Linked DNA regions of Nothobranchius furzeri. The protein of the gene in region 3 binds, or shares a complex with, the protein of the main gene of each other region. Links are inferred from orthologs where the notes say so. Each region holds a gene or a part of one and is shown on either strand. Other genes may lie near its edges. The genes, in order: sf3b2, sf3b5, crnkl1, rbm48, ppil2, snrpd2 and rnf113a.

The links.
Region 1: crnkl1 (region 3) and sf3b2 share a complex: the UniProt entries of both Homo sapiens proteins name them as parts of the minor spliceosome. The link is inferred for Nothobranchius furzeri from reciprocal best matches to the Homo sapiens genes CRNKL1 and SF3B2.
Region 2: crnkl1 (region 3) and sf3b5 share a complex: the UniProt entries of both Homo sapiens proteins name them as parts of the minor spliceosome. The link is inferred for Nothobranchius furzeri from reciprocal best matches to the Homo sapiens genes CRNKL1 and SF3B5.
Region 4: crnkl1 (region 3) and rbm48 share a complex: the UniProt entries of both Homo sapiens proteins name them as parts of the minor spliceosome. The link is inferred for Nothobranchius furzeri from reciprocal best matches to the Homo sapiens genes CRNKL1 and RBM48.
Region 5: crnkl1 (region 3) and ppil2 share a complex: the UniProt entries of both Homo sapiens proteins name them as parts of the minor spliceosome. The link is inferred for Nothobranchius furzeri from reciprocal best matches to the Homo sapiens genes CRNKL1 and PPIL2.
Region 6: crnkl1 (region 3) and snrpd2 share a complex: the UniProt entries of both Homo sapiens proteins name them as parts of the minor spliceosome. The link is inferred for Nothobranchius furzeri from reciprocal best matches to the Homo sapiens genes CRNKL1 and SNRPD2.
Region 7: crnkl1 (region 3) and rnf113a share a complex: the UniProt entries of both Homo sapiens proteins name them as parts of the minor spliceosome. The link is inferred for Nothobranchius furzeri from reciprocal best matches to the Homo sapiens genes CRNKL1 and RNF113A.

What each region holds. Positions count from the first base shown.
Region 1 is NC_091742.1:75,390,551-75,394,426, reverse strand, and holds part of sf3b2 (splicing factor 3B subunit 2), read left to right. Parts: intron 1-579; coding exon 580-688; intron 689-3,791; coding exon 3,792-3,876. UniProt on the Homo sapiens protein: Component of the 17S U2 SnRNP complex of the spliceosome, a large ribonucleoprotein complex that removes introns from transcribed pre-mRNAs.
Region 2 is NC_091752.1:24,290,525-24,294,738, forward strand, and holds sf3b5 (splicing factor 3B subunit 5), read left to right. Parts: upstream 1-1,147; 5' UTR 1,148-1,260; intron 1,261-2,789; 5' UTR 2,790-2,804; coding exon 2,805-3,065; 3' UTR 3,066-3,351; downstream 3,352-4,214. UniProt on the Homo sapiens protein: Component of the 17S U2 SnRNP complex of the spliceosome, a large ribonucleoprotein complex that removes introns from transcribed pre-mRNAs.
Region 3 is NC_091742.1:17,430,252-17,433,181, forward strand, and holds the end of crnkl1 (crooked neck-like protein 1), read right to left. Parts: intron 2,137-2,930; coding exon 1,897-2,136; intron 1,828-1,896; coding exon 1,726-1,827; intron 1,656-1,725; coding exon 1,407-1,655; intron 1,264-1,406; coding exon 928-1,263; 3' UTR 797-927; downstream 1-796. Other genes in the region: naa20 (N-alpha-acetyltransferase 20), read left to right, coding at 55-145, 221-356, 431-576, 643-728. UniProt on the Homo sapiens protein: Involved in pre-mRNA splicing process. As a component of the minor spliceosome, involved in the splicing of U12-type introns in pre-mRNAs.
Region 4 is NC_091759.1:22,195,638-22,200,293, reverse strand, and holds rbm48 (RNA-binding protein 48), read right to left. Parts: upstream 3,085-4,656; 5' UTR 3,070-3,084; coding exon 2,941-3,069; intron 2,790-2,940; coding exon 2,599-2,789; intron 2,528-2,598; coding exon 2,382-2,527; intron 2,298-2,381; coding exon 1,768-2,297; intron 1,673-1,767; coding exon 1,610-1,672; 3' UTR 687-1,609; downstream 1-686. Other genes in the region: peroxisomal ATPase PEX1, read left to right, coding at 3,507-3,614, 4,580-4,656. UniProt on the Homo sapiens protein: As a component of the minor spliceosome, involved in the splicing of U12-type introns in pre-mRNAs.
Region 5 is NC_091750.1:38,466,147-38,470,022, forward strand, and holds part of ppil2 (RING-type E3 ubiquitin-protein ligase PPIL2), read left to right. Parts: intron 1-834; coding exon 835-926; intron 927-1,148; coding exon 1,149-1,238; intron 1,239-2,942; coding exon 2,943-3,018; intron 3,019-3,100; coding exon 3,101-3,261; intron 3,262-3,876. UniProt on the Homo sapiens protein: Has a ubiquitin-protein ligase activity acting as an E3 ubiquitin protein ligase or as an ubiquitin-ubiquitin ligase promoting elongation of ubiquitin chains on substrates.
Region 6 is NC_091753.1:27,245,823-27,250,202, forward strand, and holds the start of snrpd2 (small nuclear ribonucleoprotein Sm D2), read left to right. Parts: upstream 1-1,251; 5' UTR 1,252-1,387; coding exon 1,388-1,389; intron 1,390-2,359; coding exon 2,360-2,539; intron 2,540-4,380. UniProt on the Homo sapiens protein: Plays a role in pre-mRNA splicing as a core component of the spliceosomal U1, U2, U4 and U5 small nuclear ribonucleoproteins (snRNPs), the building blocks of the spliceosome.
Region 7 is NC_091745.1:10,008,188-10,012,483, forward strand, and holds rnf113a (E3 ubiquitin-protein ligase RNF113A), read left to right. Parts: upstream 1-1,481; 5' UTR 1,482-1,535; coding exon 1,536-1,641; intron 1,642-1,941; coding exon 1,942-2,021; intron 2,022-2,093; coding exon 2,094-2,192; intron 2,193-2,447; coding exon 2,448-2,555; intron 2,556-2,645; coding exon 2,646-2,755; intron 2,756-2,837; coding exon 2,838-2,944; intron 2,945-3,034; coding exon 3,035-3,124; intron 3,125-3,196; coding exon 3,197-3,290; intron 3,291-3,359; coding exon 3,360-3,466; intron 3,467-3,552; coding exon 3,553-3,620; 3' UTR 3,621-3,684; downstream 3,685-4,296. UniProt on the Homo sapiens protein: Required for pre-mRNA splicing as component of the spliceosome. As a component of the minor spliceosome, involved in the splicing of U12-type introns in pre-mRNAs. E3 ubiquitin-protein ligase that catalyzes the transfer of ubiquitin onto target proteins.

The DNA.
Region 1 (3,876 bases), about 58 Mb from region 3:
AAATTAAAATATTAAACACTCAAAAGTATCGAAAATTGGTACCGTTAAGTACCGGTATCGATTCGTAGGTACCGGTAATTAGTACCGGATCGATTCAAATGTCAAAGGTTCCCATCCCTATTACTGGTGCAGTAAATCATTGAAGCCCATTTACACCACTCTGTTTAAAAATACATCTTGTGTTTCATAATGATGACTTTGCCGCCTAGTAACAAAATAGCTAAGTCATTATGAAATGGCATAAATATGAGTTAATTTAATGGGCTTCCATAGGAAATTGATGTTTGTTTTTTAGCTTTAGCTGTTCTAAAAGTGCAATAATCTCTGATTAATATTGTACCTCCTTCACATCACTCTGGTTTTTATCTGTTAACATTTTACATAAATTCTTCTTTTCAAATAAATTCTGTATTTAAATGTTTACCTTTATTCCTGCTTAAAAATCCAGTTAAGTGATTTCCCTCTGAGAGGATGTCCCTTTAAATTATTGCTAGCTCACTGACTGAAGCAGGCTGCTGTGGTTTAAATGAACTTTTTGTTTCAATAAAATATTTTTCTGTCGTATCTGTGCTCTTTCAGGCCTGGCAGCATGAAGAGATCAGCATCAGTGGGCCAAAGATCCCTCAGGTTCTGGAGAAGATCCTGCAGCTGAAGGAGATCAGACAGGGGCAGCTCACTGATGTAGCAGGTCTCAGACGCTTCTTAGATCCTTTTCATAGTTCTTCTAAATGATTAGTTGTTGATTAAATAAGATTTATTTGTTAATCCTTACATTTTTATGATTTATATTCATATACAACCTAATTGGCTGTAAATAACAAATCTGCAAACTTGTCACTTTTTGGTAAATTCGACATCTTTGAAGCTAAATATGGCGTTCCCGTTTTGTAAAGTTTATTTGGGGGGGGGGGGGAGACTTTGGTTGGGTTTCCATTTCTCCTTCAGGTTTTAACAGCAGCTTGCTTCCTGTGCAGTTGCACTGCTGCCATCTCCCCAGGGTAGCCATGGGTCCTTAAAAAGTCTTAAATTTGCTTTTCCAAATTTAAGGCCTTAAAAATCCTTAAAAATGACAAATAATCCTTAGATCCAGTTTCCAAAGGTCTTAAATTACCAAAGACCCCAAAAAACAAGATTATTTTATTTCTATAAAAATTTTCGTGAATTTCTAGTTAGTGTTCAGCATTTTTTGTGTATGATGTTGGCGTAAGCGGAACCGTACACATTCAGTTGCTTGTGAAAGGGGGCTGTTTTTAGATGAGCACATTAGCTGGTTAAGCTAGTGGGAGCTTGCGCCATGGGGAAGTGCAAGTTTAATGGTAACTGGATGGCTAATCCCACGTTCACGACGTGGTTAGTACTGGCTCCAGGCAATAGCTGGGAATTATAGCTTAAATTTAATTTTAAAAATAGCTTAAATTTGGTCAAAGTGGCCTTAAAAAAGGTCTTAAAAAGTCTTAAATTTGGCTCCCTTAAACCTGCAGATACCCTGCCTCCCACCCTAAACCGCTTTCAGTCAATCCGTTTTCAGAGGAAGGAGGGGCATTCATCAATCAACCACCTGTCACCACGTGACAAGTGGTGACAGGTGGTTGATTTTAGTTTGCACCTTTTTTTTTTTACCCCTTCTGAGTTTGCAGGGATGAATTAAACCCCTTTCAGCACAGTGAGATTGCATCTTTCTCAGCAAAGTTGAGACTTAACAATAATTTCTTCAGTTTATGATGACGATTGTCTTTCAGTTTGTGCTTTTTCATGAATTTTATCCCTTTTTTCATCTACATTGTTCCTAAAATTCTGTTGTAGGAACATGAAGAGGTTGAGAGGTTCTGACTAGATATAGTCAGACTCACCTCAACGCATGGCTCTGGCTCTGGAACCAGTTTCCTTGAGAGGAGTTGGACTTTCTACCACTCTGGAGTTGCTCCCACTGAGAGGCGCCGAGCAGGGGTGGGCATACTAGTTGCCCCCCATCTTGGTGCCTGTACTTTGGGGTTTACCCAGTGAATGAGAGGGTAGCGTCCCTCCGCCTACGTGTGGGGGGGACGGGTTCTGACTGTGGTCTGTGCTTATGCACCAAACTACAGTTCAGACTACCCACTCTTTTTGGAGACCTTGGAGGGGGTGCTGGAGAGCGCTCCTTCTGGTGACTCCCTCATTCTGCTGGGGGGCTTTAATGCTCACGTGGGCAACAGCAGAGGTGTGGTTGGCAGGAATGGCCCCCCTGATCTGAATTCGGGTGGTGTTTTGTTTTGGGACTTCAGTGCCAGGTATGGATTGTCCATAATGAACACCATGTTCAGACATAAAGGTGTCCATATGTGCTCTTGGCACCAGGATACCTTAGGCCACAGCTCGATGATCGACTTTGTTGTTGTTTCATCTGACCTGCAACCGCATGTCTTGGACACTCGGGTGAAGACGAGAGGGGCAGAGCTGTCTACTGACCACTACCTGGTGGTGAGATGGCTCAGATGGTGGGGGAGGATGCCGGTCAGACCAGGCAGGCCCAAACGTATCGGGAGGGTCTGCTGGGAACGTCTGGCAGAGTCTCCTGTCAGAAGGAGCTTCAATTCCCACCTCCGACAGAACTTCCAAAATGTACCGGGGGAGGCGGGGAACATTGAGTCTGAATGGACCCTGTTCCTGCCTCCATTGTTGAGGCAACCGACCAGAGCTGTGGTCGCAAGATCGTCGGTGCCTGCCGTGGTGGCAACACCCAGTGTGTGGGTGAAGCAGCTGAGATGAGAATCAGCTCCTCTAAATCTGAGACCATGGTCTTGATTTGGAAAAGGGTGGAATGCCTTCTCCGGGTCAGGGATGAGGTCCTGCCCCAAGTGGAGGAGTTTAAGTATCTCGGGGTCTTGTTCACAAGTGAGGGAAAACTGGAGCGTGAGATCGATAGGCGGATTGGTGCTGCATCTGCAGTGATGTGGGCGTTGTACCGGTCTGTCGTGGTGAAGAGAGAGCTGAGTCAGAAGGCGAAGCTCTCGATTTACCATTCGATCTACGTTTTTCACCCTCACCTATGGTCATGAGTTTTGGTTAGTGACCGAAAGAACGAAATTGCGGATACAAGCGGCCAAAATGAGTTTTCTTCAAAGAGTGGCTAGAGATGAGGGTGAGAAGCTCTGTCATTCGGGAGGGGCTCGGAGTAGACCCACTGCTCCTCCACATCGAGAGGAGGCAGTTGAGGTGGCTCGGGCATCTGGTCAGGATGCCTCCTGGACGCCTCCCTGGTGAGGTTTTCCAGGCACGCCCAACCGGGAGGAGTCCTAAACGTAGACCCAGGACACGGTGGAGGGACTATGTCTCTCACCTGACCAGGGAACACCTTGGGATTCCCCCGGAGGAGCTGGCCCAAGTGGCTGGGGAGAGGGAAGTCTGGGCGTCTTGACTTAAGCTACTGCCCCCGCGACCCGACTCCGGATAAGTGGATGAAAATGGATGGATGGAACATGATTTTGGTCTCTATCGTTAGTTAAAGCTGCACACATTAAGCTTCTACCCCTACTGGATGAAAGTGGAATTACAAGAGTCAAACAACCCTGCTGTAGCTAGCGCTAATAATGAGCTAGGGCTAACATTAGCCAACTAATCCTAAAATAAACCACAAAGTAAAAAGAACCAGACTTTTGAACAAACAATATTGTTTACAAATCCAGTTGCAACAAAGCCAGGTCATCATCAGTTTGTGATTTTGTAGCCTCCTTTAGCTCCCTCAGACGAGCGTCGGCCACACCGATGTTTACTCTGTTTCTAGCTCTTTGCTTCACTGACTCTCCCCTCTACAGACGACGACGATGATGGGAGGGACATGGATGCCACCAATTCCTCAGCGCTGATGTCTGAGAACGACGAAGATGGTCTGATGTCTAA
Region 2 (4,214 bases), on a different chromosome or scaffold from region 3:
AGTAAATTAAGTAAGTTTAATCAAGAGGGGAACCCATTTTTCTTGCATTCTTTAGTGAAAAAAAAGGTAACAAAATGTTTATTTTTCTTGGTGATTAGTTACTTTTAGTTACTTTTTGGACAACGACGTGATCAGTAACTATACCTAATTACTTTTTAAAAGTAACTTTCCCAACACTGACCATTAGCATTAGCAACCCCACCACACAGCAGAAGCTCCTCCAGGCTTGTGCTATCTGTAGAGACAAAACATCCACGTTGGATAACAACAACGCGACTCTACCATAACGTGGTAGTTTGTTTGTCCCAGTGTCCCTGTGATATCTTGTGGCCTGTCCAGGGTGTACTTTGCTAATGACTGCTGGGGAAAGACTGCTCCCTTTGACCCTAGTGAGGAAAAGCAGTCAAGATCATAGGTGAGTAATTTTTAACAAATATTTCAAAACATTTCTGAACCCAAATCTAACCATATTTTCATATTTTTCTGTCCCAATCATGGTTGCCATTAGCAACAGCTGGTAGATGGAAAATTAGGGTCATAACTCTACAGGCAGCAAACATGCTCAATGCAGAACATCATCAAACACATTATCCACAGAAAAAATTTCATTATACCAGCCACAGGAGAGCCCAGTGCTAAGCAATTCTGAGCAATTTAGTCTCGATGTGGCAATTTGAAAAATTGTACTGTGATTATTTGTTTTAAGATAAATGTTTTAAAACAACATGAATACATCAGTTTTGATGAAAAGTTTATCTCACTGCACAGGTACTCTAATGATTGCTGCAGACACTTGCATATTTATATCCTTAGAAAAAGCCAATAAATACTGCAGTCTATTTATTTGGAAGAAGACCAAGTAGTACTATTTGTTTTTAGAAGCATAAGAAAAACAATGGACGTATTCCCTTGAATGGTGTGGAATGATGATAGAGGCTACACACGAATTTAAAACATAAAAAAGAAAAGATTGCAACATAGACACAACCTATTTTCAATTAACCTACAAATAAACCAAAGAAAATAATAACTGTATTTAATGTACCCAGATTTTCTAAAAAAAAAAAAAAAAAAAAACTTTCTTTGAGTGAGTAAGAAGTACACTTTGACCAATGGAGCGGAATCAGAACAGTACGACATTTGTTCCTACCCGGATCATTTCATAGGGTAACGCGCCGGCAGTGGTCGTTTGTCAGTGCCTGAACGACTCAGAATTAATTTACCTGTTTTGTTTTAGTTCTTGATCTCTGTACACATTACGTAAGTGTTTTGTTCTTTTAAAACCAATTGATGTGAAGCTGAAGCTATTATTTGCCCTCCAGGGGAGCCTAAATTTAGACTTTTATTACACGAAGACCGACTAGCTAAGCTAAGCTACTGTTAGCATAAAGAGTGGAAGATCAAACGTTGTCCAACAAAGAAAATGTGTAAATAAAGGGCAACGACCGAATATTTGGAATTGTATTTTGTTTGTTAATATGTCAATGTTGATCATTTGGATAAAACTCACATAAATAACGGCGATTAAGGATTCGAATGCAGTGGAAAAATACACTGCATGAACGAATTAGATAACTTTGCTAACATCGTTAGCCTTTCCAATATATTTGAAATGTTCGTTTGTATTTTGCTTTAAATAATAGTCTTTTTGGGATGTTTAATGTTGGAGTGGTAGTTTTTAAGCTTTAATTCTGTCTTTTTCCCTAGTTGTCACCATACATCCAGATTAAAGTAGTCACCCACACGTTGCGTTATCAGTACTTAGTCCTGGGACCTTCTAAGGTTTTGTTGTTGCGTTTGTGTTGTCTTTTCTTTTGCTAAATCAAAAGCGCATGCGATCTGCTGATTGTGTCAATAAATAGTATCAATACTGTTAAGAAGTAGCTTTTGCTGCTACGATTAGCTGCAAATACTCGTTTATTTTGTTTGTCTGACCCAAATTAAAAAGAGACTGAGCTGGAGGTTTTTTTTCTTCTTTCCACCATTGTTGGAAATCAATGTTAAAAAGTCTGAAACTTTTTAGCTGTTCTAAAAGTTAAAACATGTAGAAAAGCAGTAGTGATGCACCGATATGACATTTTTGGGCTGATACCGATATCTGATATTGAGCTCACTGTTATGGCTGATAACTGATATTTGCCGGTACAGATATGCTGACATTAAAGCTGAATTTACATTATGTACACGCAACACACACATTTATGGGTCTGAGATTATTTCATTCACTGTTCACATGACTAAACAATTACACATCACCCCCCTCACCCTCTGAAACAGGCGAACAAATGGAGACGAGATGGAAAAAATATCGGCCTGGTTTTATTTATCGAGCCGATATGTTAAAAATTGACCAACATCGGCCGATACAGATATTGATGCTGATATATTGTTCATCCCTAGAAAGCAGCATTTTAAAAAGCTTTACCTGCTCAGTATGTGCCTTATACAACATCATACAGGCTAATGTGTGTATGGAGTTCTGACACAATGTAGTAAAAACAAGTGATGCTTTTTGCATCCCAGCATGAATTACGTACAGCATGCACACATTATCTTTTTAAGAATAACAGTACATCTTCATCTGGACACTGATGAAACCCCAAGTTTATTTTAAAACTTAAAGGACTTCTTTCCCTGGTGAATCAAACAAGATTGACCTTTACAAACAACATTGTACAAGAACAACGTCTAATGAATCAGCCTAATATTCTAGAAAATGTAGAATTTTTTTATATAAATGATTTTAAAGAACATCACGGGTGATGTTTTTCTATCCTTTCCCCATCCAGAGTCTTTGAGTGAAAATGACGGACCGATACAACATCCACAGTCAGCTGGAACATCTTCAATCAAAGTACATCGGCACAGGACATGCTGATACCAGCAAGTGGGAATGGCTGGTCAACCAACATCGTGACTCATATTGCTCCTACATGGGACACTTTGACCTGCTAAACTACTTCTCCGTGGCTGAGAATGAGAGCAAGGCCCGCGTTCGCTTCAATTTGATGGAGAAGATGCTTCAGCCATGTGGGCCCCCAGCAGACAAGCCCGATGATGCTTAAATAACTCCAGAGTGAGCTTTTGTCCCTGGAAATTCTTTTTTCTACCATTAAATCCTGTTTGACCCTATCAAAAATAATTGGATCATCCATTTATAGTAGTTTTGTTTGCATATGGACAGCACTGAGGCAAAACAAATTATTTCAAGATCTCAATGTTTACAAGAACGGTAAATGTGTCTAAGTGATGCACAATTATCTGTGAAGAGATTGAAGAGATTGATGATTACAATGTGCCCATGATAAGTTTTGCTTATTCATTAAAATTTGACCTTTTTCTACAATCTTATTTATTTTACAGCCAGCTATTCATCTATTCTTTCACAACACTTTTATTTGTCATCATTTGGATTGAATGTGATTTGGGTTTATTTGAATAAACATTCATAGGTGGCAGGTAGCCTTTTGAAGCCTTTTACTCTGAAATGCTGGTGTTTTTCAGCTACACCCAATACTTTTCTGCAATATTAAGAAAAAAAAGAGAATTTAATGCAGATAATCTTTATTTTATTATAGTTGTAGCAAAATGCTTTTACTCAACTACAACAATAACTGATGCACTGTGGTTCAAATGCTGAAACTGCTTATTTGCAGTAGGAAATTTCACGGAAGAAAATTATCTGAAAAATCAGTGGGTGAAATTTAGAAAAGTCCACCAAAAGGTGGTTGAAGAAAAAAAATAACGGTGTTAAAAACAACAGAACACAGGTTTATGATGTTATTAAAAATTGCCAAAAGACTGCTTTCAAAACCAGCCGACCTGCTTTTTCAAGACAAAACTGGGAACTGCTGACACACAAAAAGCTAGAATTTTTAAATTAAATTGCCTCAGAAACACAAATGTGACAGCTGTGTGCATGAAAAACCGCTAAATCCTGCTTTAAACAATTCACCTTCTTTGGTAACTTAAACTCCCTCTTATTAAACACAACTTTAATCAATAGTTTATGAAATCCATTGATAAGAAAATCAATTTACAAGCACAACGTATGGAGGTCTGTTACTGCCATTGAGAAAAAAGTTCAGAAATTAAGTCATAAGTATGTTTTTATTACCAAAAATATGAATCAGGATAAAGAAAAGAAAAGCAGTATAAATTCCTTAAATAAGATCAAAGTCACAGGTTTGTGATTCTACATAATAGTATGTAAA
Region 3 (2,930 bases):
ATGCTTAGGTTCAGCTGTTTCCTTGCTTGTTTTTCTTTAACCTTTGACCTCCAGTATGGGATCCCGTTCTACCTGCAGTACCTGGCTCACTGGCCAGAGTATTTCATTGTGGCTGAGGCTCCGGGTGGCGAGCTGATGGGCTACAGTGAGTTCTTCAGTTTTCTCAGTGAGTTGATGACGTCATCGCTGCTACAGCTTATCTGATTGTTCCTGTCACCAGTTATGGGGAAGGCGGAGGGATCTGTAGCCCGGGAGGAGTGGCATGGCCACGTCACGGCGCTGTCGGTGGCTCCAGACTTCAGACGGCTCGGCCTCGCTGCCAAACTCATGGAGATGCTGGAGGAGATCTCAGAGAGGTTTGTGCTGGCAATCAGACGGAAGAGCAGACGTCCCTCAGAGACCTGATGAGACACGTGTCCTTGTCCTGCAGGAAGGGAGGGTTCTTCGTGGACCTGTTTGTGCGAGTGTCCAACCAGGTGGCAGTGAACATGTACAAGCGTCTGGGTTACAGCGTCTACAGGACTGTGATTGAGTATTACTCGGCCAGCAACGGGGAGCCCGATGAAGACGCCTATGGTGTGTGTGTGTGTGTGTGCGCGTGCGTGCGTGTACATATCTCTGACCAACTGTTTCTTCCTGCAGACATGAGGAAAGCTCTGTCCCGAGACACAGAGAAGAAGTCCATCATCCCACTGCCTCATCCGGTCAGACCAGAAGACATCGAATAACAGCTGACCCTCACCATCATCACTTCCTGGTTACTCGTCACACCCAGAGACTGATTATAGAAAACACGTGGCTTCATGTTTTTATTTCCTGTAAATTTTCAATGAACATTTCCGAAAAATATAAAAGTGTGTGTGTGTGTGTGTGAGACAAATGAGCTATTTTAGTTCTTTAACTGAAGGAAAACCAAGGTGAAGTTTCTCAAGGAGGACTCTGGTCTTTCTCCTCCTTGTTGCGCCGGCTGCCCTCTCTCTCCTCCTCCTCCTTCTCCTCCTGGCTGCTCCCGTCGGATCGGTCACCGTGTGTGTTCTGCTGCTCCGTCTCCATTTGGATGCTCTCATCCTCCGGCTGCTTTTCAGGAGTTGCAGGTTGGTGAGAGGAAGATTGTTCCTCCTCACCTGCTGAAGACTTGTCTCCATCGTCCCTCACCTGCTGCCTCTTCCACATCTTGGCCATAGCGAGCAGCTTGAGGTTGGGCTGGTTGGCAGCATCTTCTGGGAAGATGTAGTCATAGTATTCTTCCCAGCCTGCGTCGGACTGATGGGAACAGAAACACCTGATCAGCTGAGAACATCTGGACCATGAATAATTAAAGGTAACGGCTGGGGCTTCACCACTAACCATTGGACCACAACAGGGTTTTGAACCGACCACCACGCTCAGATGAAAGTATTCCTTACCCCGTCTTCAGCTGTCAGCTTCCTCCTCTTCTTCACCTTCTCAGGCAGCAGCTTCCTGACCCGGTCCCTGGTGCTGTCGGACCCAAACTCCTTCTCAAAGTCTCTCCAGGACTCCAGCAACATCAGCCGCTCCTCTTTCTCCTCACAGCTCCTCATGCTCTTGTTGGCCTCCTCGTAGATCTGGCGACACTTCAGCAGCCGCGTGGGTTCATCAATGGACAGCTCAAACTTGGCAAAACTGATCCAAACCTGCAGGAGCAGAACTGGGTCAGCGTGGCCTTGGGAGTTCGAACCGGTATCTGGTTAGACCCAGTCTCACCTTGACATGCTGAGTGCGCTGCAAGAGCCTCCTGTAAAGGTTCCTGGTGTTCTCAAACTCCTCCTGCTCGATCTCAAAGTCGATGTAGGACTTCCACAGAACCTGAGAAGAGAACAGGGTCAGAGGTCTGAGTCCCGTTTGTTCTGCAGCATAAAACTAAGCAGTCCAAACCTCAGGCATGTCCAGTCGTGGCTGTCCAATGGCAAGCTCGAAGATGGCCCGAGCTCGATCCATGTCTCCCAGAATCGTCTCCAGTTCTGCAAACTTGATCCAGGTGGTGCAGTTCTCTGGGGTGAACTCCAGGTACTTCTCGTAGAGCTTCCTGCAGCGATCAAACTCTCGCAGCTGCAGCTCCAACTCGATGTACCCCTTAAACAACTTGTTCTTGGGACATTTCCCGATGGCCGTGCCCTGCATGGGGGTGGGGGGTTTAGCCTGATTGATACTTCTCTGTGAGCTCCACAACGGAGAGATGCACACGGAGTGTCGGAAAGGTTTTCACATTCGACTTTCTGCTCAGGCAGCGGAGTGTTGGAGAGCGATTCCACGCCAGGCCAACAGAGGGCGTAGCGCTGTTCTGTGGTATCCTGCCACCATGACCCCGTCCCCTATAGTGTATTTACTAACACGGACTAATGTGTCCCTAACCTCAACACCCACGTTTCCCGTGGTTTCAGGCCACGCTTGCTCTGTATTTTGTACTCCTTCACTCACGGGTGAATAACGTTCATATTTTCGGACCTTATATTATATTTATTTAAAGAGCAAGACACCCCCTACCAGAGTATTACTCCACTCCCACTTCCTGTTTGAAAAATGCATTAAATGCTGTTGCCTAGCAGACTGAGAGGGCGGAGCCGCTAACAAATACGCACACACACAGGCTCACAACGACATTGTGACATCATATGGTACCAGCTAACATTCTAGGGTACCTCTTAGCCAATAGCGATGGCAGATTTAAATTCAACTACAGAGCAGAGTTTTTACCTGACAACGGCACAACACTGACAGTTTTAGGCAGAAAATTTAAATTTTAACTAAAATGCACTAAAGTGCTAAACTATTGACTACACGTGTCTGCAGCACGATTAGACACGCATTTGTATAGTTTATCAGAAAAAAAAAGTTGATTTGGGGGTGACTTGCTCTTTAAACATTTATAGGGAACCTTTGGAACAATCAGCAGCAGCTGCTCAGCTGAA
Region 4 (4,656 bases), on a different chromosome or scaffold from region 3:
CTTTCTCTTTCACCTCTGTCACCGTGTCTGGTCGCAAATAAAACACATTCAAAAACAATAACAATAAAGTTTTAAGTATCAGGCGTGACATTAAAAGCAGACGCTTTGATGCTCCACCTGACAGTAAATCTGTAAGTCTTGTCACCAGCATTCAGACATTAATTCTGCTTGCTTCACAGACCGACAGGACACGAAAAAAAAAATATATATATATATACATACATACACATATGTATTATATATTTATACACATACACATATATATTGATGATAATATAATTGTTGTTTTTGTAAAAGTCTATTTTGGGCTGTTATTTTTCTTTAATTAGTACTGTTCTAATGTTTTTGTGACCATTTTATTTGTTTGGTGGTAAATTTGCACCCATGTGAAGGATTTCAAGATTTTCCTAATATGCAGAAAGTTTTAGCAGTTAAAATATTGACAGTGTGAGATAAAATAACATGCTCAGGGTTTCCTCTACGATTTTGATAAACCGTGGTGGAGAGACGTGCGGAGACGGTCGCTCTGAGACACGAGCAGTATGCTTTTCGATGAACATTCCTGCAGGTGTGTGTAAAACATCCATCCATCCATTGTCTGAACCCGCTTTGTCCATGTAGGGTCGCGGGGGTGGGGGGTTGGGGGCTGGTGCCACCCTGAACAGAGAGCCAGTCCATCGCAGGTGTGTAAATCAGCTTATTGTTTAATTACAATTAAATAAAAAAAATGTAAAAATATATTTACCTTGAAATAATTTGTATTGCTTGATTCCCACCTTGATTACAGCCATGGGCGGAACTTGATTTCTGTCCATTTTGGGTCCCAGCCAGATTCTCTGTGCTGACTTTTTTCTTCCCTCTTACCGCTTCCCTGCTGCTCTCTCCCTCATCATGCTCACTTATGCATGCTGGTCCTTGTTCTGCCTCTCCACTTGTCTCTCCTTCGCTCACCTCCTGATGGTTGGCGCGCACCAGAGCGGTGTCCTGAGCATGGCGACAGTAACATTCTCAGTGTCTCCACGTATAACACACGATTGTTTATGTCGACTCGTGTCCTTTTTATGCTTCCTGTCTTTTATTTGTGCCCGATGCGTTTTGCTGCTGCGGAGCGAAGCGCATCACCTGTTTTGTCCTCAGGTGACTTCACCACACCGGTGCGCCCTCGCTAATTTAGCGGTCGGTAGATCTTTTTGAACTGCAGTTTAAAGTTTTGTTGCAATAAAATTTATTTTAAACTGTGACTATGGTTAGTACACATGCACAAATATAGACTATATATGTCTCGTTATTGTTTTAATGTATATCCAAAAAAAATGTTTCTGAAGGTACGTTGTTTGAAGTTTTTTTTTTGTTTACTTCTGAAGGTGTGGCAGCTTTTATTTTTCCGTAGTGGCGCGCCACGGCAACATGCACATAGGAAACACAGTATTAGTATTTCTTTAGCTTTCTAAATGTAAATTTGTGCACTCTTTACATAATAGCTGTTTTTTTTAACCTTTTTTATACAGGTTGGTATCATAGCATACAACAGCCGATGAGATAAACAGTTTTCCGAAGCAGTGGGAGCGTCGGTTTTCTTCCAAGACTCCCATCTAGACACCTGTCCAGATCATATCCGACGACGTGGTTTTGTCTTTTTCTCAACAGCTTTGAAACCCGGAGCAGATCCCACCTGAAAAAAAAAAAAAAAAGATTCACATGTTTTAATCCTTCATTAAGGCTGATTTACTTTTTATGAAATTATTAAAGTACTGAATCAACAATGACCTGTTTCATTGTGTTCCTGATCAGGCTGGCAGTTGTGTTCAACGAGTCATCATTCATGTCCAGTTTAGGTGGTTCTGGTAATTTCGGTCCAATCAGGGTCTCGGTTCCTCCAGAAACACTTGCCGACTGCTCGGGAGCCTCTTCCATTCTGCGTTTCCTGATCTCCAAGTGCGAGGACCTTGGGAGAAACCTGAATGCTGAAGCCTGATCTGAGGTCAGTCTGTGTTCTGTGTCGTGGTCTCTCTCTGAGGCTTGGTTAACGCTTAACTTTTCCACTTGGGGCTGTTTCAAGTTTATGATGGCATCATGTAAAGTTCCCATTTTGTCCTCCTGTGCGCTGATCCCATGTGGACTGTTATGTCCAAAGGGATGCTGCTCCCATGGAGGTAATGGGAGAGGAGGGAATTCTGCATGTTGGCTGTGGTTTGAAGCATCCTCTGCACATTCTTTTTTAGAGGTTTGATCGTGTCTGACGTTTATGTCTGATGCAGTCGTCGATGATGCGGAGCCTTCGCTGTGCGCCGCTTTTGCTTTGTAAGAGAAGATTTGTTTTAAAGCATTGAAAAGCAACATTTAAAGGTCAGAACTAAATCAAACATGATGTTAAACGATACCTCTGCTCCGAGCTGCTCTCATAACATAACCCCTCCGGTCCTGTAGCTTTAGCCTGGTGTCTTCTACAGTCTCATACTCTGGGACGTAACACACATGCAGCACACCGCCGTAGAAGCTTTTCTCATCCATGTTGCGTTTGGCTGCTCTGAAACAGAAACATTCGATAACGATTAAGCAGGTATTTCCAGTAAAGTATGAGGAGCGAATAAATCGTACCTGGCGCTGGTTAGCTTCTGGAACTTGATGAGGTAGACTTCTGTAAACTCCTCAGCCGGATACTCGTCCAGAGGTCTGTACTCCTCCACAACACCATACAGGGCACACAGCTGGACCAGCTCCGTCATCACACCGATAGCTGGGACTCCCAGTACCATCAGGAAACGGGACTCTAGGTTAATGGTGTACACCTGGAAATTCACAAGACTAAAGTTACATTTCCTGCGTTCAGTGCAGTATTAGAATGATGTTACCAATTAAGCTAAAGCAAATCTTGTGTGTCTTCTTTACAGAATTTATGAACATTTTAGCTGAAATTAATAACTTCTAAGATTGTCTCACCTTAACCGCTTTAGCTCTTCTTCCTTCTCGATACTTTGGTCGAGAAATGCAAACTTTCTGCTGTTCGTGATGTTTGTGAACGTCAGGAACTTTCCAACAACCGGAGCTGTTGTTTACAGGGACCGCCATGCTTATTCTAAATGCTGTTCCGGTTTAACACTTTCAAAATAAATGCTTTTAGTTCAGTGAATGCGTCTGCACTTCCGGTTTAACACTTTCAAAATAAACGCTTTTAGTTCAGTGAATGCGTCTGCGCTTCCGGTTTAACACTTTCAAAATAAATGCTTTTAGTTCAGTGAATGCGTCTGCACTTCCGGTTTAACACTTTCAAAATAAACGCTTTTAGTTCAGTGAATGCGTCTGCGCTTCCGGTTTAACACTTTCAAAATAAATGCTTACAGTTCAGTGAATACCGTCGCGCTGCCTGTTAGAATACTCTTTTATTTTGAAAGCAAAAGATCAACTACTTTTGCCTGGTGAGGAGTCCATCGTCCACAGAGCACATCGATAAATCCAATTGCTCTCTCTGCCTGGTGTATGCTAAGCTAGCTAGCAATGCGAAAATTATGTTTAGCAACCAGGGAATTCAAGCCGTTCGTGTCGTTTTTAACAACACAAAAAACTGCTTTCTTCACCTCCCTTCCAAGTTGGTAGCGCATCTTTCCTTGAACGAGGTAGGTTAGCTAACTAATTTCATGTTGATTTACTGCTTTTTAGATCATTTCTGTACGTTAAGACTTAGTTTTAATGTATAATGTCTGTGCTAGCATAAACAGATGACAGTTTTTAAACGACTAGCCGGGTTGTCTTATGCTCAGATGAAAGTACTTTTGTTTGAGATTTTATAAACATGCAAAGCAAACAGTTACCTAATCAACGACAGCTGCTGGTTTTTAGGATTTTCAGGTGAATTGCTTCCTTGACATCTATGTTTGCCTTATTTTACTGCATTAGAGACTTAGAGAGACACACTTAGACTACTGTAACTCTCTTTTCACGTGTCTGAGCAGAACCTCCCTGAACCGTCTACAGGTGGTTCAGAACGCCTGTGCTCGGCTTCTGACCAAGTCCTCCAAACGCACCCACATCACCCCGCTTCTCCTCCAGCTTCACTGGCTGCCAGTCAACTTCAGGGTTCATTTCAAGATCCTGGTTCTGGTCTATAGAGCCTTACATGGACAAGCACCATCTTACATTGGTGATCTTCTTAGTCCCTACACCCCCAGCAGGTCCCTGAGGTCCAGTGATCAAAGCCAACTGGTTGTGCAGCACCAGGCTAAAGGTCAAAGGTGACAGATCATTTGCTGGTGTGGCCCCCAGACTGTGGACCTCTCTCCCCCTGAGCCTGAGATCAGTGGACTCAGTGGTCTCCTTTAAAAAGCAGCTGAAAAGTCACCTGTTCAGGCTTTGGTGGGACCTTCACCACCCTCTCCTTGTTCTGCTCTTTGCACTTATTCCACATTTCCGTGATCCACTGATTTCCCGCTTCCCTATTCATTTTCTCTCTCCCTTTCCTTGCATCGTTTGCATTAAAACACACACACACACACACACTGCAGCCATGGTCCTTTAACACATAAAATGCTTAGATAACCAAAAAAAGCAGAAAAATAAATGTTTTGTCTCTCTTTTTTTGCAGAATCAGGCGCTGGAATTGTCCTGGGGTAACGGATCTCCAGTGTTTCTCAGCTGGACTCGAAGTAGGGCCTCCTCCAG
Region 5 (3,876 bases), on a different chromosome or scaffold from region 3:
CGCACCTTCTTAGGCTTCTACAGCCCCCCAAGGCGCTTCACAACACAATCAGTCACACACCCATTCACACGCTGGTGGGGATGAGCTACGATGTAGCCACAGCCGCCCTGGGGCGCTCTGACAGAGGAGAGAATGCCGAGCGCGGGCGCCACCGGTCCCTCCGACCACCACCAGCTGGCAAGGCAGGTTAAGTGCCTTGCCCATGGACACAACAGCAGAATTCTCTGGCAGGAGATGTGATCGAACCCACAACCTTCTGATTACTGGACAACCTGCTGTACCTCCTTAGCCACTGTATTAAAAATACGAGTGAAGGACCTCAACAACAAAAGCAAAAGTTGTTTTTTGCAGCCTCGAGATTCTCGTTAACCAGAGAAACTTAAAAACGGGACGATTGCTGCCGAAGCTCGTCAGATTTGAATTCAATTAAAAATGAAAAGACCTGTTAGTTATTAGTGTGACCTTTGCTCCCTGCGTTTGACCCATCCCCTGGGGGAGCGGTGAGCTGCAGACAGCTGCACCCGGGAGCCATTTGGTGGTTTGACCCCCCCAGTCCAACCCATTAACGCGGGGTATCAAGCAGGCAGGCAGGCGTTGGGTTCCTTTTGGTTTTTTTAGTCTTTGGTATGACCCCACCAGGATTTGAACCCCAATCTCCCGGTCTCAGGGCGGACACGCTACCACTAGGCCACTGAGAAGGTATTCGTGTTGTTCTTCAGACCGGTGAACAAAAGTTTTAGATACTTTATGATTTCCAGAGAAGACGAACATTTATCTGACCGAACTGAGACTGATTATCCCTGCTTTCTCTTTTATTTCTGTATCGTGTTCCAGGAAAGTATCACTGTCCTGTTCTCTACAACGTCTTCACAAATAATTCCCACATTGTTGCCAACAAGGTGACTGGAAATGTGTTTTCCTATGAGGTCAGTAAACTTTAACGATAGTCAAACACAAACAGTTCTCCCTTAAACATGTACAGATGTTACGTCCTATTCAAACCCTAAAGGTTAGCGTTTTTACAGAAATGTTGAACATTTTCAAATATTTTTAAATAACTTGAAGAAACTGGTAGGAATCCATAAACCTTCCATATAAACAAATAATAAATTAGAGATGATGTGATGTTCCTGGTTTGGTTTCCTCAGGCCGTCGAGCAACTAAACATCAAAACCAAGAGTTTCAAAGATCTGCTGACAGATGAACCCTTCACAAGAAAGGACATCATCACACTCCAGGTTAGTCGTTTCTTTTGCAGCGCCTCGATCTCGCTGCCACTGAAGTTGGTTTTGTTTTCCCCGGGAAGAACGCAGGGATTTCCCTCGAGCTTTATGGCATTTACACACTAGCATCGGCTCCACTCCGCCTGGACCGGGTTGGGAGTGTTCTCATTTGGATTTTCTCACCGGACGTCTTTTTAGCCCTCTTCCTGAGGCGGTCTGCCTGGAGCCAAACTGGTCCAACACGCTACCTGCTGACTGGCTGGCTCAAAGTCACGCGTACTTTTAGGGGGAGCCTCCGATTGGCAGATAGAATCAGCTTGCAGGGGCTTCCCGTCGGCACAATTCATTGACTACGTTTACATGCAGCCTATATCCGGGTTATGATCGGGTTAAGGTCGGTATTCGGGTTTCTGAGTTGATCAGAATAACCCGTTTACAAGCATAAATAAAAAGAGTTACCTCTAACTTACATAACCCGATTTTAATGCGGACGTTGGGGTAGCGTCAGGACGTATGGACTACGTCCAGACGCAATATGCCTCATTTCCGGTTCTTCTCGTTCCGGTATCCGTGAAAACAACAACATGTTTCCCAGTTCGGAAGAGATAGCGACCGCATTTGTTTGCGCTTTAGTTTCTTTGTCACTCCAAAAGTGTGGTGCTGTGCCGTGACTCGCCATTTTGCTCCCAACTTGTTGTTTACTTCCGGAGTTCTCGCGCATACAAGACGTCTCGCTACTCAAAAGACCAAGATTCCTTGCGAACAGAGCATGCGCAGAACACACGCTTTGATGGGGATATCCCGATATGCGTTTACACGACCAAACACTCGGGTTAGAAAAGGGTTACCCCAGGTGTAGTAATCGGGTTTTTAAAAACCCGGTTATGAGCATATCCGGGTTTCTGGCGGTGTTTACATGGACCTGCGGAACCGGGTTATTGTGAATATTCGGGTTTTAAAAGGGTTACTGGCTGCATGTAAACGCACTCAGTATCATTCTGGATGCTGTGGTGTTAACGAGCCTCTGACTGAAGCCATTTTACTTTGTCTCTCACTGCTGTGAGGAACACACACACACACACACACAGCAAAGCAAAGCAGGATGCTGAGTCTCCAAAAGCAAGACTGCTCGGGCTGCTTTTGCTTAATAATGAAGACCCCGTGGAGTGGACCTCTGTGCTCTTTTGTCCCGCCCACGTGCTCGGAGATCCGATCATGACATCACAGGCCACAGACCGCCCATGTGCTGCTCAGTTACATCGCTAAGGCAGTGGGGGACGAATGTGGCCAGGCTGGGGTGGGCGGAGCAGAGTGGAGCTGATGCTAGCGTGTAAGTGGCATTAGAGGACCTTGTGTGACCAAGTATGGTTAATCGAGTGCGTTTCTGTATGTAAACGACATTCAGGCTAACATCCTGAATTTGGAAATATGACAGTTTCTAGTAAGGTTTGATAAATGAGGCGCTGGAGCGGCGGGATCCAGACCCGAGACTCCTGGATGGGGAGGAGCGGGGCAGTGATGACACAACTAAGCTCTACCCAGGCTTTTGCTGAAGCTTAGCAGAGTTTTCCAGAGCTGAAGGAAAGAAGCAGCTGAGACAGGAAAATAACTGCTTTACGTTGCTTTTCATCAGGAAATAATAAAACACGGTCAAAAGCTCCAAAGACTGGAGTTCGCACGATGCAGGCCCTTAAAAACATCTGCTTTCTGTTTTTAAAGGACCCCACAAACCTGGATAAATTCAACGTGTCAAACTTCTTCCATGTGAAGAACAACCTGAAAATGTCAGATGCAGGTAATTTTTACTTTGAGATCGGAGTCAAATTTCTGGTTTGTTGTGAGTAAAATACTTCTTTCCTTTATCTGCTGCCGTTTAGACGAGGAGAAGGCGAGGCAGGATCCAGCGTATCACCTGAAGACTACCAACCTGGAAACCAGGGAGACCTTGGCTGAGCTTTACAAAGACTACAAGGGGGATCAGCTCTTGGCTTCCACCATGAAGGAGCCAGAAGCCAAGAAGACCGACAAAATAAATGCTGTAGGTCAAATCTTAAAGCAGAACAACTCTGCTTCAAAAGCTCAAAGTCGGACACAAGAGGGCGCCAAACTGTGAGTTATGGTGGAGGGAAAAGGAAAAGAGTAATGGGAGATTCTGTTCATTTAAAGAAAAAACAAGAATGAAAAGTGAACAGTTGTGTTCTCAGATATGATGACTCAGATTAAAGTCACAGCTGCTGGTTTGGTTCTGGTTAGGGTTGTTGTTGCGTCGTGGTAAATGATTAACTACTAACTACTAAACCAGACTACAGCTACCAACATGTTAGCCAGACTGTCTCCTTTTCCTTCAGTATTCAAATAAACATTCAGAGTGGAACGTATTCAATGTGCCGTCCTGTTGGACTTGATCCACCCCGGTACCAAAGGCAAATGTGTGCTACATAACTCATCTGATGACTGGGAGACGAGTGGCCTGTGACCCGTTTTATGGATTAGTAAAGTCAGTTTCCACAAAAGACCATCCACTGCTTTTCCCGACTGCACCTTTTCTTTTCTAAGCCCATTTCTGATTCACTCTCCGTGCAGCTAGCAGGGTTTCTGTGCAGGTTACAATAGGAGAATAGAAAAGTAAACGGCGTTCCTCCCACTACTAAAC
Region 6 (4,380 bases), on a different chromosome or scaffold from region 3:
ACTTGTATCTTGTACTTACTCATCTGATTTAATGCTTGTTGCTCTCTTAATTGGGCCACTGTAGTGTGTTCAGATTAGAGAATGCAGCTCCATCCCATGTAAGGTAACGCTGAGCTCATTTTAGTCTGCATCTCAAGATGCAAGAGTCTAGGGTGAGTGTGCTTGGTAAAGGTATAGAACCGTGCAGTCTGGAAACCAATCCCACTCATTCACCTCTCCCAGCAACACACAGCCTGCCATTATCTACAGCAAGTGATTTCCACAGGTAGATCTGTAACCTTTGGAACAAGGTGGGTGGGTTGAGCACCCATAGGCGTCTGTCTGTCTCTTGCCAGAAAGCCAATCTCTTAGTGTCTCGTTGCTGCCACATATACCCGTTTCTCTCCTTTACACACACACACACACACACACACACACACACACACACACACACACACACACACACACACACACACACACACACACCTTTGCTGTGTTAAACAGCGAAACAAAGGCTTACCTGTTTGGGCTGCAGACTACGGAGAGGTCTGCTTCCTCAGTCTTATTTATTTCCTCTTTACTTTGTGAGGAGAGAGTTTTTGATATAGGGCTGCATGGTACAAATGGTACTGCTTCCCCACAACAAGAAGGTTGCAAGGTTGCCTTTCTTCAAAGTGCATTCTGGCCATGCATACACTGGTTTTCACTGGATACAACAAGAACATTTAGGTTCCATTGTGTCTCTAAATATAAATACATATTTGTTTGTCCCTGTTTGTCTCCATGTGGCCCTGTGCTAGACTGGTGACCCATCCAAGGACTCACCTCTTGACTGATGAGTGCTAGAGTTGGGCATCAGCTTCATGACGTATGAAGAATAAGCAATGACGAAAAAAGAGGGGCTTACCTTTTACACGCTTGTTCTATGCACTGGTTGTGTTGGAACTGTATTGAAGAACTACTATAGATGATGATGATGATGATAGATAGATAGATAGATAGATAGATAGATAGATAGATAGATAGATAGATAGATAGATAGATAGATAGATAGATAGATAGATAGATAGATAGATAGATAGATAGATAGATAGATAGATAGATAGATAGATAGATAGATAGATAGATAGATAGATAGATAGATAGATAGATAGATAGAATTTAGGAAAAAAGTAACTAAGAAAATAATAGTTTCAAGATTTTTACATTTATGGATGATTTTTTTTCCATTACACTTACCGAGCAGAATCTCCGTAACCCGGAAGTTATAGCGAACTGTTTAGAGCGCGTTGAGAATGACCCGGAAGTGTTTTCGTCCACGAGAAGAAGGCAGAAGCGTTGCTCATAAGAATTAGACGGTGGAAACGAGAGAAAAACAGCTTTAAACAGTTTTTATAAACCACCAATCATGTAAGTGTCGTTGATGATGAGATAGCCATTTCGGAAAGTGTCATTTTTTGAGATAGAGTATCAGCTACGAGTCGCAGCGTCTTTTCTCGAATGCTAACATGTTTAGCCTTTTCACTGATGAATGCTAGTTAGCTCACGTTGTGTTGCTTTCTAAACGTGCTATCGCTTTTCATATTTTACTCACCATTAACCTAATATGTACAGGGTAATTACTGCAATAAAATATATGTAGTAGTTACGTTGGTGATCGTTAATGATGCTACGATTGTTTAAATTTTATGTTTGCCAATTGCGAAATATTAGCAGCACGATTAAGGAGACCGGTGTTGAGTCAAATTGTGTTCCCCGTAGATAACAGTTTGACCAACTTTCTAAAATGTGCGTTTGGAGAATGAAATTGTCAGGATATTAGCCTAGTAACGAAGTCGGCTTTATGTTTTTGAAGCATATGAGCTTATTTTAATTCAGAACATCATTGTTAGCGACGTTCTGTCTCAAGGATGTTCCACATGTTTTTTTTAATCAATCTTCTAAGAAATCCATTGCTTGATACAAAAGAGTAAAGGAAGGTTATGAAGAAACTCAGAGAAACAGTTAATTGTTAATGCAAAACTTGTCATTCTAATCTCTTCAATTTTTTTTAACTTCTGATTGCTAACCAGTAAATTAAACGTGTATGTCTGATATTGTTGAATATTTGGCTATTGCTAAAAGTAGCTTGGTGTAAATTTTTTAAAATAAGTTATTAGTTTTGTTAAATGCCTATGGGAACTTCCCCACTCTTCTACTGAGAGATTTAAATTTTAATCTCGGTTAAAGTCAGGTTTCTTGAATTGCATTTAGTTAGGGTGCCTTGTTTTCATTTATTATCTTGTAATCATGTAAGTTTTAAAAGCAAACCGCTAAAAGGACTTGTGACCGTTATCTGTGCAGAAGCAAATGATCTAGTATCGTGTCTGCTTTTGTGTAGGAGTCTGTTGACGAAGCCCAAATCAGAGATGACACCAGAAGAACTCCAGAAGCGGGAGGAGGAGGAGTTCAACACCGGCCCCCTGTCGGTGCTCACCCAGTCAGTGAAAAACAACACTCAAGTCCTCATCAACTGCCGCAACAATAAGAAGCTGCTTGGAAGAGTTAAAGCTTTTGACAGGTATTGAAAGAATTTTCATCTAAAAAAAAACATTCAGAGTTCTGCATCTATGCGAGAAAATTTTACATTTAGCTTTTTATGTTTATTTATTTGCAGACGCTTTTATCCATAGCGACGTACAATTTTTTACTTGTAGGGCATGTTGTGATCTGTAGGGGAAACCGGAGTACCTGGAGGAAACCCATGCATGCATGGGGAGAACACTCAACTCCACGCAGAAAGGCCACAGCCGAGTTTCGAACCTGCAACCTTCTTGCTGCGAGGCAACAGTGCTAACAACTGCGCCACCATGCATTTATGCATTTGGATGGCAGAGTCAAAAAACTTAAAATCACATTTAGGTATGGCTGCCACAAAAGACAATTTTAATAGTAGACTAATCACCAGTTTTGTTGACGATTAGTCAACTAATCATGTCATCATGCATAAAAGTATAGCTTATTGCACCAGGGTGCCCTAATATACCCGATGATAGCTTATCAAACAGCTTTTAGTTAACTTTGTAACCCAGGGGTGCCGGAATCCTGGTCCTGCATGTTTTAGTTTGAACTCCGCTTCAACACACCTGATTTCAATCAGCAGCTAATTAACTGGCTTCTGCAGAGCCTGATGAGCTGCTGCACAGGTGTTTCAACCACTGAATCATGTCTGTTGGAGCAGAAAAAACACAAAACCTGCTGGATACCTGCCCTCCAGGACCAGGATTGGGCACCCCTGTAGTAACCTGTTAATACAAATGCTAAACAGTCAAATGGAGGTAGGCACCTAAAACTAGGGCTGTAGCGAAGCCTCGACGAAGTCGACGGCTCGATTCTAAAAATTTGTCGACGTCAGATCCGGAAGTTGACGCACCGCGCCCACTTGTTGCATCCCCAGGAGTTTGTAAATAGAGGAGGAATCTGCCTGTTTTTCCTCTAGTTTGCCCTCTTCTCCGCCTTCACTAACATCTCCGCCAAATACCGAAGACCCGGAACAATGTCCGTCCACTACTAGATTATTTTCCTGTTTTTCCCCTTCGTCTCCCGGCAACGGACAACAACTTCCGGGGTCAGATGCGCTGCTTCATGTCTATCGCAGATGTAGAAAATCACCGGGAGCGCTTCTCCCTTCATAAAGGAGCTTCTTTCAGACATGAGGAGAGCTGTTTTGGTGGTAGCAGTCTCTCCTCCCTGCTGGTCTGTTTGCTGCCGGGTGTTTTTGGTTTATTTAAACTTGGTAACTTGAACTTTTGGTAAAGCTACTGTTAGCATCTTCGCTAACAGCTTCTTGCATTGGGATAAGCTGTTACGTTTTGGTTTAGAGTTCATCTTTTTTGTGGTGTAGATCTCCCTTTTATTACATTTAGAGTGTTGTGGGTTTTCGGTTTAGTGTAAAATATTACCTGAGTTTGGTTTAACCCGTAAGACCACTCGCCTCACGCACATAAGTGACCAAAACAAAGCAGCATGGAGACACTCCATCTTCTACCACCTCTCAGGCAGCAGCCTGCACTCCCAAGTTCTACACGTCACCAGAACATAACCAACCGCAACACAATAAAAGCATGGAAGGCCTGTAGTGTTTATTCTCTTACAGTAAGAATTTATCAATTTTTTTGAGGAATTTATTTGAGATTTTCTGGTTTTTGTTAATTGTGCAATAGAAAAATAATCATTAGATTAATTTTCTAAATAGTCATTAGAATAGTCGACTATTCGATAAAATAATCGTCAGAATAATCGTTTTAAAAATAATCGTTTACCCCCAGCCCTACCTAAAACCAAAAATAAATTGTAAATAAAAATGGCTTGTGCTCACAAATGTATCCAGCTAAAATAGTCTTTTTTTCCTACACAAGGTTC
Region 7 (4,296 bases), on a different chromosome or scaffold from region 3:
TTATTGTCCAATTAAAACGCATTATTTTCCGGTTTAAAACAAAAATGACCTCAAACATTTGTGTGTGTGTGTGTGTGTGTGTGTGTGTGTGTGTGTGTGTGTGTGTGTGTGTGTGTGTGTGTGTGTGTGTGTGTGTGTGTGTGTGTGTGTGTGTGTGTGTGTTCAAATAATAAAGTTAAAGTCCCATAGTCATCATCACACTGGTGAAATTCATCTCCACATCTGACACATCCCGATGGAGAGCAGGGAGCTGCTGCAGTGGCTGCGCTCAGTAATTTGGTTGTTTAACCCCCTAATGCAACCCTTTAAAGCTGAGTGTTAAGCAGGGGGGGGGATTGGGTTCCTTGTTAAAGTCTTTGGTATGACTAGACCGGTATTCAAACCCGATCTCCCAATCCCAGGGCAGACACCTGATAGTGGCCTAAATTGTTTTATATCTGAAATGTTTGAGAAGAAATTACAAACTTGTTAGTTAAATTTCACAATCAAAAAGAATTACTTGATGTTCCTCTGAGTCTACAGCAGAGGGACAATAGGCCACCAGAGGGCGTATGATCTGATGTGTTTGTAATGCTGCTAATAGTTTTTGTTTTAGCGCGTTAATTTAATCTTGTTTAACACAGATAATTATGATACATTTATTAAGCTTCATCGGTTGTGTAGTTTATATAACTGCAGACCTTCTGACCTCTTGTTATTTCTTTTATTTTGAAAGGATTTATAGGAAGTGCTAATTGGTTATGTGTTGTTCAACTTTATGTGAACACTGTAGTAACCGCCTCTGACCGCCAGAGGTTGGAAAAAACCCTACTCTCGAAAGCCAGAAACTAATTGAGTTCTTGTTATCAAGTTGACATAAACAATACATTTAATCACTTATAGACAGATTGTGTTGGCATCAGTTACGTCAAAAGATTATTTAGACAAAAAGCAGTTAAACATAAAATTTTCTTACAAATTTATGTCATTCGTTTTTATTTATTTTTCTTTCTTTTTTTGTTTTTTGTTGTTATGGTTGTTGTTGTTGTTGTTGTTCTTGTGAAGCGCCTGCTCATGATTATTATCTTGAGCGGTCTTGTAAAAGATCGTTTCTTCTTTTTATCAACGACATTTCTAATGGCTATTTTTGTGTATTTTGTTTATTAATCGTTTATACATTTAGTGTCCAATCAAAATGCGTTAATTATTTTTCTGTTTAAAACTAAAATTACCTTTTAAAAATTATTTCAAGTACTACGGAAGAGGATTAAGGCCACTGAAAACAAAGAATAATGATTTAAATCTGAAAATTCTGAGATTAAAGTCAGAATTATCTTTCTGTTCATTTTTTTATTGTATTTTTCTTTTGTTTTCATTGGCCCTCGTCCGTTCTAACATAATATTTTAGGTTTACCATTCTAGCCAGAGCCGCGTTGACTTTGATTTATGGACGGTTGTGAATCTCATTTTGGCAGAAGGAGCGCGTCACGTTTCGCCTCCAGAACAACAGGGGGCGCTACTGCTCTGGCAGCCACTGTTCTTACACCAACAAAAACATGGCGGACCCAGACAAACCAAAAGCAGCTACTTGTACGTTTTTGTTTAAAAAATCCACCAAGAAATTCTCCGGAAGAAAACGAAAAGCAAGTGACAGCGATAAAGGTAGTAAACTATCATTTAGATACATTTCCTTGTAATTTTCTCCTAACTAGCGTTGTCTGTCCTCTGGATAGAATTGATAGCGGCTTCTCATCAGGGAGATCAAAACCGCGACCCAAACAGTTTGTTTATATTATCCTCCATAATAAACAGGACCAAAAACATTATGGTTTATCACCTGAAAGCTACATTTAAACAAAGAGGGGAAGTAACCTAGTTTAATTGTAATAGATTTTGTAATGTTTGTTTACACCAATTGTGTGTGTGTGTGTGTGCGCGTGTGTGTTTGTTTGTTTGTTTTAGATGGCGATAGTGACACTGAACAGACTGCTGTGGTCAGAAAAGAAAAGAAGGATGCTCGAGTCAACCCCATGATTCAAAAGGTAGAGCAGGCAAGCTAATAGATACTTAGTTATGAAGCAGCAACGTGAATGATCTATGTATTCTTTGTTCAGACAAAAAAAGTGGAGAGGGACGCTGTGTCTTCTAGTGAAAGCGAGGAGGAAAAGGGAGACAAAAAGATAACGGTTGCTTACAAGTCTTCCCGATCAGCGGTGAGTTCAGACTGCATTCATTCAAAAATGTCAGAGCCAGACAGTACAAGTCAAACACTGATCTTTTTTCCATCATGGCTCAACCTGGCTGTTGAGACAAAACATACAGGGGCTGAAACTTCACCAGAAAAGCAAATTTTAACATTATTTTACAATCTACAGACCATTCTCATCCACGTACACATGACTATGTGCCCTGAACAGTTGTTTTTATTTACTTTAAAACTTTCTACTGTACCTTGCCTTCATAAAAAGAAACCCGAGGGGCCTGAAGACATGGGTGCAACTGCCACTTATCAGCTGGACACAGAGAGAGACAAGGATGCTCAAGCTATTTTTGAGAGGAGTCAGAAAATCCAAGAGGTAGGACATGCCGCTATTGGTTAATATAAAATGAGAAATAATCAAAATCTCACCTTCGTCATTTGAGCTTTCCCTCCTCTGTCTCATTAGGAGCTAACAGGTAAAGAAGATGATAAAATATACCGTGGCATCAATAACTACCAAAAATTCATCAAGCCTAAAGACACCACCATGGGCAATGCCTCTTCAGGCATGGTCAGGTGAGGCAAGAGATATTCACATGCAGTCAGAAGATGTTGTTCACCTATAGATGCTGAAGGTTACGTTCAATCTGTGCTACAGAAAAGGACCGATTCGAGCTCCTGAACACCTGAGAGCTACAGTCCGGTGGGACTACCAACCGGATATTTGCAAAGACTACAAGGAGACGGGTTTCTGTGGATTTGGGGGTTGGTGAAAACAATCTGAACTCTTAAAACGTTCCTACTGTGAAGTCAAAGGTTTTGTTTATTAATCATGATTGCATCCGTTGCCATTAGACAGCTGCAAGTTCCTCCATGACAGGTCGGACTACAAACACGGCTGGCAGATTGAGAGGGAACTGGAGGAAGGGAGATATGGAGCAAATGGTGAGTAAATAATCGAACTTGAAATCTTCTCTTTTGCTGGCTAGACTAAGTTTCTGATGTGTTTTCATCTAGATGACGAGAACTATGAGGTGAGCAGTGATGATGAAGACTTGCCCTTCAAGTGCTTCATCTGCAGAGAATCTTTTAAAAATCCCATCATCACAAAGTAAGTACTGCGATGGTTTCTCTCCTTCAGTCCTTGTTTATTACCGGCTGGTAATCGCTGTTTCCTTAGGTGTAAGCACTATTTTTGTGAGAGCTGTGCTCTTCAGCATTATCGCAAGTCAAAGCGCTGCTACGTGTGCAACACTCAGACCAATGGTGTCTTCAACCCCGCTAAAGGTAAATGCATTTGCTCAAAAACATCCAAGAGGAGCAGAAACCAAAGTAAACAGTCACACTTGATGTTTTATTGTCATTTATTCTAGAGCTGATTGCCAAGATGGAGAAACGCAACGCTTTAGCCGACCAGCCACCGTCAGACGAAGAAGATTAGAACACGCTTTAGAACCCTCTCTGTGTTTGTCTGTGTACATTTCTAATAAAGTTCATGGCCTCGGTTCCTTTTGTACAATCATGTTGAAACACTGAAGCAGGCCTGGGTTTGTAGTAAAAGTTTTACATTTGTAACACGTTGCTTTGTCCAAACTTTCAAATATACATGCAGACAAAACCAGCACCAAGAAAACATTTACATCTGACGTCAGTAACACCCAGAGAGCCGAAGAAAAGGCTAACTTTTACGCTCTTAATGCTAAACTAATAATTACAACCTGTGCAACAAAAGAGTCTGAACCGTGAGACGATGCATCTGCTGTAGCAGACCGGAGCTAAGAAATGCTGTCAGTCCTCAGAGAGGACTGCTAGGTGCCCTTATGGTCGTCTCCTGGAGCAGACGGACCAAATCGTGTTAACACAAACGGTGGAGCGTCTCCTGGTAATATTACGTAGCAGCATTTCATTGATCCGTCTCCTGACCTTTATGGTTTGGGCTACATCTACCTTTAGAAAACTCAAGAGTTGTCCTTTTGGTTCGTGGGTGTGTGTAGAGTACAATCCGTGTAAATACCTGTGTGAGATAAACCAGTGCAGAGCAAGAATCCGCAAAGAGAACAAAAGTGAAGTGAGTCACCAACAAGAGGGTAGATGACTTCACTTTTAACCTCTGAGAA